2 linked regions of the Oryzias latipes genome follow. The protein of the gene in region 1 binds, or shares a complex with, the protein of each later gene. Links are inferred from orthologs where the notes say so. Each region holds a gene or a part of one and is shown on either strand. Other genes may lie near its edges.

What was found. Proteins that work in one complex are often made in the same cells at the same time.
Region 2: satb1 (region 1) and hoxb2 share a complex: the UniProt entries of both Homo sapiens proteins name them as parts of the nuclear protein complex. The link is inferred for Oryzias latipes from reciprocal best matches to the Homo sapiens genes SATB1 and HOXB2.

The regions. Positions count from the first base shown.
Region 1 is NC_019874.2:30,143,984-30,148,841, reverse strand, and holds part of satb1 (DNA-binding protein SATB1), read right to left. Parts: intron 2,489-4,858; coding exon 1,998-2,488; intron 1-1,997. UniProt on the Homo sapiens protein: Crucial silencing factor contributing to the initiation of X inactivation mediated by Xist RNA that occurs during embryogenesis and in lymphoma.
Region 2 is NC_019866.2:24,276,713-24,281,672, reverse strand, and holds the end of hoxb2 (homeobox protein Hox-B2), read right to left. Parts: 5' UTR 4,958-4,960; coding exon 4,480-4,957; intron 3,578-4,479; coding exon 2,778-3,577; 3' UTR 1,298-2,777; downstream 1-1,297. UniProt on the Homo sapiens protein: Sequence-specific transcription factor which is part of a developmental regulatory system that provides cells with specific positional identities on the anterior-posterior axis.

The DNA.
Region 1 (4,858 bases):
TGTCAGCAGTCTGACCAATCAGAAGTGGTTAAAGTCTTCACTTCCTTGTTCTTAATTCTGCTCATAAATTCTCTCAGTTCCAACAAAAATACCATCTAAAGCTCGTCTTTAGCGGTGTAGCTTTCCACAGAGTCCGGTGTCAGACCATGAACAAAACAATGAAGCTCACAGACGCGAGTCTTTCTGCCCTTTTTCGGCAGTTTTCACACTACATCTCCCATGATGCATTGGCTTAAAGGGCCAGTGTCCCAGCGCACAATGAGTGCGCGTGAAATGTTTAGAAACCTCAACGGACAAACAAACAGTTTCTAAATTTTCTAATTTAACTTTTATTTCATCTCTTAGAAAAAACAGCCGCAACTTCCTGCTTTTTTGGCCACAATTATCACAAAATGCACGTGAGATTGCGGGGGGGGGGGGCTGTCGATCAATAGAGACCATGAATTTCTGTTTATTTTTTATTTTTTTGGATGCTGGTGTGCCGCGGGATTTTTGTCAAGGTTAAAGTGTCCCGTGGCTCAAAAAAGGTTGAAAAACACTGCTCTAGGACATTGTTTCTGCAGAGCGGCAGTGTTTTGTTAGAAATTCACCTCTGAGTTGTGGGCGGGACCTTTTTTCCCAGCTTCCCCATTGCTGAGAGCTCTCTGTTTACACCCTTGGCTTAGCCCTGAACCTGACAGGCCACTAAAAAACGGTGAGCAGATCCAGATTCCAGCTCAGATGTTCGTGGATCATTTTGTCTGCAGGTGGATGGATCAGAACGGGGCGGAGCAGGGAGATTGTAGCCCCGCCCACCACATTTTATACAAAAATACGATCTTTTTCAAACATTCATTCTTCCGCTCCTTATTTACGAGGATTTGAACCCAAAAATGCTTAGAAATACAATTTTGAGCTTCATTTTCTTTCTGTTGAAAATCTTGATTTTCCCCAGAGTGAGTCTTTGCGAGCAGGAAACATGAGCCGAACAGAGTTTTATCCAAACGGTTTTATCTGCAGGATTTTCCTAATTATTCCTTGTGCTATTCAAGGCACTTTAACATTGGGAGTTGGGTCATCTAGACCCACTAGACAGTGCTCTGAACCTTTTTTCTTCAATGATTTGTGATCTTCACTGGTGTCCATGGACTACGTGAAATCTTTCCACCTTTATCCACCTTTGTCATGGTAGGGAGAACACGTCACTGTAAGGGGGGGGTCATTTTGACCCCACAAGACACCACAAGGGTTCAAATTGAGATAAAAAATATTTGAAATGTACCAAAAAACCGGCGGTGGGCTAACCTGCAGCAGGACACCGGTTCTTTTCTGCTCAGATAAAAGCGCCAACATTAAAGAAACAAGCTGTCCCTTGGAGAAATCAACACCCACGTGTGTGTGTGTGTGCGCGTTTGTGTGTTGTTCTTCCGACAATGAAGTCGAGCGCCACATGGAAGCAGAGCGGGAAAGGATGTTAACGACTGAAGCTGGGCTCATTGGCGTGGCAGCCTGCCAGCAGTCCTCAGGTACGGCGGCGATGCTATCAGGATTCAGAAACGCAGCGGTCTTAAGACGTCTTTGAAAAGGAGTTTCAAATCACAACCGAGCCCGAAGGTGGGGGGGTGGGGGGGACGCACTTTTTACTTTGGTGTCAGAAGTGGGATTTTGTTGTTTTTGCTGTAAGAATTCCAAATGTATTTCATCTTTACCTGTAAAGCCTTTGCAGTTGGCTAAAGTGCTGTGAATGCATATAAATGTAAAAAATTTAAATGTAGAAAATGAAAGAAACTTTAGGAAGCCGTTTAAAAACGGGGGGGGGGGTTCACGATGTGGTTCAACCTTAAAAAATACACGGATTTCCAGGCAGACATTTTCTGCCGTTTGTTTCGGTTTTAGTTTCTACAACACCGACAGTGGAGACACCGGCAAAAATCAAAAGGGACCAGAGGGAAATAAAGTCAACGTTTCTAGTAAATTCCGTCTTTTGTGGCGTTTTAGTGAGGGCGTTCCCGTCTCACCTGGGTTCTGTTGAAAGCCACCCGAGCAAAGACGGCCTGCGAGATGCCGGCCCGTTTCAGCTCGTCCCGGACCCACTGGTAGATCTCGCCGGAGACCTCCGTGTTGGACGCCACCTGCGGCTCCATGGGCTTGCTGTGGGAGCTGCGGTTGACGGGCGGGTGGTTCAGGTACTGCTGCGACAGGGACTGCTGCGCCAGCAGCCGGTTCACCGCGTACTGCTGGTTGAGGATCTGCGCCATCACCAGCTGCTGGTTGACCAGCTGGGGGCTGATGGGGGTGGACACCAGGCCCGGGTGGTGCAGACCGGGGAGCTGGGGCTGTCGGCTCGCCGTCTGGCCGCCGTGCGGCGGCGGGCCGTGGGGCATAGGGGGAACCGGCGAGGAAGGGGTCTGCTCCGCCGTGCTGCCGGGGATGGGCTGCTGCTGGGAGAAGCCCAGGTGGTTGTGGTTGGAGCCGGGAGGGGAGAGGTCGGACAGGCCGTCCATTTCAGCTGCAGGGAGATAAAAGTTTGGGAATAAAAATGGAGGGCAGGCCAAACGACTGAGGTCACATAGCAAAGAGAAAAGTGGTGAAAAAAAGGCTTCATGAAAACACGGAAGCAGCAGAAATTCCCATCTGACCAGGTAACACGAGCATCAGTTTAAAGCACCACAGCCTCCAACCAGAAGAGAAACAGACGCGGTCTGCAGTGGATCAACATCCAGCCTCAAGTCAATCTTTGCGTGTCTTTAAATATTCTTGTTTACTCCCTTTGAGTCGAAAAGACATTTTTTTTTTTTTTTTTTTTGTGACCAGTGGGGCTTCAAAACCAAATCAAGGAAACCTAATTATCAATGGAGAGATGCTGGATGTTGGTGCGTTTCCCAAAAGCCGCCCGGAACGACTGGATATGACACAGGCGGTTAAAAAAAGATGGAAGCGCAGATAAAAGGGCCTCATTGTATCTGACCTGCTCTTCCACAACCCACGCCTTCAAAATTAACTTCAGAATGTCCGTTTTTTTCCCTTCCCCTCATGAGGCCTCAGCATGTGAAGCGTGTTTGTGTAGGTGCAGAGTTTATGTCCACGGAGACCACAGAAACGGCAGAATCCGATTCCCTTTGCACCCGTAAATCTCCAATAAAGAGCCCGTGCTGGCGTCTTCGTGGCTTAAAAATAAACGTAAAGAAACAGCGGCAGACGGGACTCTCACGGAGGACACCAACGATTTTGATGGAACGAATGGAGAAAACTGAACGGAGATGTTTGTGGTGAGATTCGCCTTTGGGAATTCTTAAGTCCATAATGGCTGCTTGGGAATATTTAGGACAAGTTTAAATTATGAGCTTAGGAGGCAAAAACAATGATTTAACATTCAAAGTAGTACCCACAGTGAAGCCAATAAGCAGTTGGAGAAAAGATGGATGTGTTCAGGTGTTTAGGAACTTTGGGCATCAAACTGAATGAGAATGCTCGCTCAGAAACGAGCCTCCGCTTATCAAGAGATTGGCGTTTTTGGGGGAGGCGGAAGTATTGCACAGATGTGTTTTTGAACGGTGCGTGTGCGCATCCGGATTCCTACGCGTCAACCAAACGCCAACTATCCCGGTCCGATCCATTACAAGGAAAAAAAGAAAGAAAAAAGGAAGAACGTGAAGTGGAACGGTGGGGTTCAAAACACTAAAAACCCAAACAAAATAACAATAATAATCATCTCTTTCTCTGTAACCATTCAGTGATGGTATGGTGGTGGTGGTGGTGGGGGGCATACTCACAACACACACATGAAGGCATTTCCATGCAAATTGAAAGGAGAAGGGGGTGACGGAGGAGCACGGCGGGCCCTCTTGTGGAATCCTGCCACAAAAGAGCCCCGGATTAAAGCGCACAATGGGAGTGGGGGGTCGGCATGTAAAGGGGAGTGAGCGGCATCGACCAACTCCTGCTCCTGAAGCCGAGGGGACGCTGTACCAGAGAACCTGCCGCCTCCACCAAGCCACGGGCCGCTGCCTGGCTTCAGGAGGATGGCGCCACAAGAGGCAGTGCCGCCTCTTGTGGCGCCGAGCGGAGCCTGAGGCCCCGCCTATGGTCGATGGGGCACCCGAGACTCGTGTGCCACGGTGTTGTGTCTGAGGTTATCCCGACATGACAGGAGGGTGCAAGAGTTCAACATGCTGAGTCAGCACAACTGGAGATGATATCAGTGTGTACAAACACGCGTGTGGTTAGCTTTTATCAGCCATCCGTGTTTCAGACTGAGGTTGTTTCAGTTTGAAGTAGCAGAGGTTCTGCTACACCATGACAAGATCATCATCTCATCTATTTTCTAAGTGTCTCCGGTCGTCTTTTGATTATCATTCGGCCGTTTTTAGCAGAAAATCCCCCCAAGAAACCCCATTTCGTTTCCCAGAACATGATTTCTGCAGAACGTTGTGGGCGGGGCTCCTGGCGCAGGCTAAGCACCGCCCTTGCTGCCTGTCATCCAGCTAGCTTACAGCCACTCACAATGTTGGGTGGGGGACCCAACATTACAAAAAGGGCGAGCCATCTTGGGAGCTATCCAGCCGTTCCAAAAATGCCTTTTTTTTCGTCTATCATCTTAAAAATTCGGTTTTTAAAAACACACTTTTCATCCAAGTGTAGGAGGAAGCGTCTATTCAACATCTACGCCAGTCCAGCCGTCTTCCTTTCAAGTGGCGGGAATTTTAAATTTGCAAATTTCTCCGACATAATCAAGGCTTCAAACCGTTTCAATGTGGTTTCTGTCAACAAGGAGTCCTGCATCATGGGGGGGTTGGTGTCTGGAACTGGTCTGAGCCGGAGACCCTACTTTCTGACTGAGCACCAACCTTTGAACCAACTTTTACAGGACAATTTATTA
Region 2 (4,960 bases), on another chromosome or scaffold:
TAACATACGGGTGTTTCGGGACACAATAACACAGAATCTGTCTTGCAGTAAAAAAAAAAAAAAGCACATTTGACTTTTAATCTTTTAGTTTTGCCTGGTTGTTGTGAGGCTTCTTACTTTCTTTTGGAACGCTAACAGACCTTAAATAAAGTTTTGACGCTTCTGGAAATGCTTTTTGGCAAAAATGTGCAACCAAACAACTCCTGAACACTGCAGAGAAAAAACAGTATTTGCTGCTCTTTATGGGTTTCTGGACTCCATACTTCAATGCAATTTTTCTACTGTCATTTTCCATTTTCACTCTGGTCTGGAGCTGTCAGACACCTATCTAAAATAAATCTGGTAAAGTATTTGATGTGTTTTGCTTGCATACTTAATGAAACTTTTAAAGACATTTCGGAAAAATGAACTTTTGCTTGTTAAAGAAAATGAAAAAAAAAACATCTTTCAAATGCTCTTGACCTAAAAGGTTTAGCATTAAACATTTCAACCCGATGTATTTTTTTTCCATTTTTTAGAAAACCCAGTGACCCCAAGTTGGATATTCTGTCATGTTCTTGCCCGCCACACTTTGCTTTCAGTGAACTGAAGCCGCTCAAAGTCAGTTAGAATTTATTTGTGAAAGTTTTTGAAATGATGCAAATGGTTTGCAAATTCGCTCTTACTTTAAAACAAATCCTTAAGTGTTAGTTCATGCAAACAGAGTGTGTTTTGTCTTGCTCCAGCTGAGCAGAGGCAGAAAAAGTGGATCCCATTTATTCTAATTTGAGCACGTCTGTTAGAACCAGAAGAAAAATGACATTTCTTCTGGACGGCTTTCTTAACACATCGATCAGCCTTTGTCTTTGTGTTTTCTGTCCACCACCACTGCAGCCTGTCACTGCACAGCACTACTCACACGGCTATTTCTCTCTGTGAGAAAGTCGACAGAAAGTCACGTCTGTTTCACTTATTTTTGGATTTGCAAAGCCAAAGTGTAAAGTCCTAATTTGACAAATGATAACTAGTTTGCATCAAAATAAAAGCCTCGGCATCCTTTTCTTATAGTAAGATGATTTTTGCAATTGGCCGTTTAAATGCTCAACCATTCCAAGATTAGATTTTAGTCACAGGAGCATCCTGGTGCTCTAACCTGCTCTGCTGCTCATCCATCTAAATATATAAATGTGAATGAGCCCCCAACACCTCAATGTTTGAGGTTTTTGAAAGCATGAACTTCCATCAAAATAAAACTCCTTCTTAATGCAGAGATAAATGAACAGTTCAGACATCACATAGGCTATTTATCATGTTTTTCTTTTTTTTAAGCAGCTTATTTGGGCTGGAAAGTCAAATCTGGGCTTTATCATAAACATTTATTGAAATTCTAAAATAAATGAATAATTTAGCCAAATACCTTGCAGCTCTGGATGAATGATTTGCAAATCAAAAATCTCCAAAGTAATAATATTTATATTATTATTACTAAATTTTTTATTGTAGCCAATTTGAATTATTTTTACTATATTTATTTGATTCGTAAAAAGCCTGGAACGCGGCGCCTGTCACTGTGGGCCAGTCATCCTGTAATGGCTGCCACTGCTCATTGTTCACATCCTCCTTTGTCTCCAGCGCCATTTTGACTCTGGAGGGGAGCAGTTAGCATGTTAGCATCACAGGCTAGCAGAGGGGAGTCCTGTTTTCCTGTCTGTGCTTCTCTGGAAGGGGAACACAGAAGCTGCAGGAGTGCGAATGCAGCACCCTGCTGTTGAATGCATCCCTGACCACAACAGCATGGATTTGTTGGTTTTATTATTCTCCTTTTAGAATTATGTCGTAAAAAATAATTGCACAGTCAGGCTCTGCAGTCTGCACAAAGAACTCATGTAGACTTGCCTATAATTAATAAACAATTAATGGGAACATTTTACAAAACAATTATTATTAGGTTCAATGATTCCAATATATTTTTAAATAACCTATTTTATAATGTGGAACAAATTGTACACATTAGTCTCAAATTGAAAATTAAGGTAATTTTTGATCAATTTTAAAAACAATGTACTAAATGACTAACACCCTAATTGTCATTCAAATGTTAAATTCATGTTTTCCTAATAATTAGTCAGCATTTTTTAAAATATTGCCATCTAAGAATTTATAATGTTGCCATTTTAAATAAAATATAAAACATCATGAACAAATCTTTTAAGAATATTCTAACACAAAATTATGCACAAAATTTTCTTTTTTTCTTTCTTTTTTATTATTATTATTCCACTATGAAAATATATGTACAATAAATAATTTGGATTTTCACTATTAAAGAATCTCAATAAATAAACTAAGGTCTAAACCTGGTGTCTTCAGCAGGGTTTTTCCACTCGTCAGAGAGTTTTCTGAAGCAGTCCAGACTCTGCCACCGTTCCTGAGAAATTATGAGGATCCACGAAGCTGCACGGGAGCACGAGAGGAAACGAATCCACGCGCTGAGGAGGAGGAGGAGGAGGAGGAGGAACGGCCCGCAACCAAGAAACGATCCAAATATATTCAAGGGGACAAATAAGAGAAATTGTCCACATTTTCTACTCAGAAAAACAAAAATATCCTTTTGGAGATGAAAAATAAAAACTGTTACATTACAGCTGGAAATTAAAACCAGGACGGAAAAAAGCATGAAAAAAACTTCATGTTTATGGAATGTTGCCGGGATTCTTTTTTAAAAAAATGCGTTCAGTTTTTTTCTCTTCCTTTTCTTTCTTAATTTTTTTTGTTTTTCGTTTGTTTTTAATGTCGCCTCAGAAGTTGAGGTGCTGCAGGTCTATGGTGCACAGTGTGCTTGTGAACAAGTCGAAGTCCTCCTCGGAGAAATCCACCGGGCTGTCCAGGGAGCTCTGGAGGCTGGGCGAGAGGCAGGCGTCCTCCGGGAAGAAGGTCAGGTCAGGGAGGGCCGCGGAGGAGGAAGAGGAGGAGGAGGAGATGGCGTGAGGCTGGGATGAAGCAGCCGCGGGGTCCCTCTGCTCGGAGAACGCCGCGTCCCCCAGCTGCATCAGGCCGGCAGTGCTGCTGTTTTTCTGCGGGAATGCGGGCGGAGAAGGCTGGGGCGCGGTGGAGTCATGCGGACCAGCTGTGCCGAGCAGCAGTGGGCGTTCAGAGGCGCGCGAACGGCCTGTGTCCTCCGGCGTGGGACGCGTATTGTCCCCGCTGTCATCGTTGAAAGAAACGGGGTTTTCGCCCCCGTGCTCCCCGTCCGAGGAGGCCTCCCCCGTCCCAGAAGCCTCCAGCGGCTGACTGGAGTAGGGAGAGGACGCGTCGGCGCCTTCCAGGGGTTCGAACGCGCTGGAGGGCGGACTTCCTCCGCCGCCGTCCCGGTGGTGTGTGGTTTGTCGCTTGTGTTTCATCCTCCGGTTCTGGAACCAGACCTTAACCTGTCTCTCCGTTAGGTCCAGAAGTGCGGCGATCTCCACCCTCCTCGGCCGGCACAGGTACTTGTTGAAGTGGAACTCCTTCTCCAGCTCCAGCAGCTGCGTGTTGGTGTAGGCGGTGCGCAAACGGCGGGACCCGGCCGCGCTGGCGTCCAGAGCCGCCTGGCTGGAATCTGATGCAAACAAACAAAAGAACATGTAAATTTCAAAACTAGATCTATTTTTTCTAGCCTATCAATTAAGGGAAATTTAGAAAACCTGAACCCATTTAGATATTTATTTTCTACTTTCTAAGAAGTCTGTATTTGAAAGAAAGACATAATTTAAATTCGAAAGAGACAAAGAAATAAACGAGTTCCTGTCGTGGTTCACAGACTGGCTTTAATATTAGCAACGTCGTTGTACAAAAACCCCCGAAGAAGATGACAGAAAGCAGGAAATTAGACGAGATGGGACAAGAAGAAAACACGAAATCTCATTTAAATGAAGGAGGTCTGTTTTAGGAGAGGGAATTGCAAAACCGTGGAGGTCAGTAAAAAAAATGCAGGAATGGCCCAAACCCCAGAAATTCACATTGTGCGTCAAACGTTTCCTGTCGAGTTGTCAGTGCGCCCCAGCCCCCACCCCGCCATACTTCAGTCTTTTGCCTTATCTGCCTCCCTCCAATATGGCGACCATGCCAGTGGAGCAATGAATGTTATAATATTGTGAAAGCGCAGCTTCCTGTGCTGGTATAGAAGCTAAGCAGTTATGGATGGAAGATTTTTAGCACGCACGCACTCATGCACTAATTATGAGTTAGTGTCTGTGTGGAAATCCAGATGAAATCACTGGAATCACTTCACGGCACTGCAGCATCATGCAGTGCTGCAGCTCCACGCGCAGCATCACAAACACCCCACAATCCACACGCGTGCGCGCAAACCAACAGACGCACATGCACGAATGTGGGGGAAAATACGGTGTTTAAATGATAAGGAAGCTTCCTAGAAAATTCAAAAAATGAGCGTGAGCTGGAGATGCTCATCACGCGTTCCACACATGCACGCCACTCCCTGCGCCCCAGTCTACAGACCTGTGGGTGACTCGACGTCCGCTGAGGCGTACCCAGGGGCGGTTGGAGACGGGTAGGACGGGGCCGGGGTTGACACCGATCCTCCGCCGCCGGAGCCGCCTCCAGCCTTCGAACACTTCTTAGAAGATTTCTTCTCCTTCATCCAGGGAAACTCGTGGGCCAGCGGAGCGACCGGGGTGGCCGTGGCAGGGGCCTGGCCAGGCGGACCGGGCTGCTCCGCGACACGGTGGTGCGTCTGGTGGCCATTTGTGGCAGAGGCTCGTCGGCTTTGCTGATTCCCAGCAGCTGCTGTCGGCTGGATGGCTGTGCAAGGGCTCAGGCTGGGGATGGTGTGCTCGAAGGGAGGCGGAATTACTGTCGACTCCTTGATTGATGAAGTTTGAAATGACTCCAGGACGGCGGGGAAGGACGTCAGGCACTCTGCTAGGGAAGGCTGGCTGTTTATAAACCCGATCTCTCTCTCAAATTCAAAATTCATAGC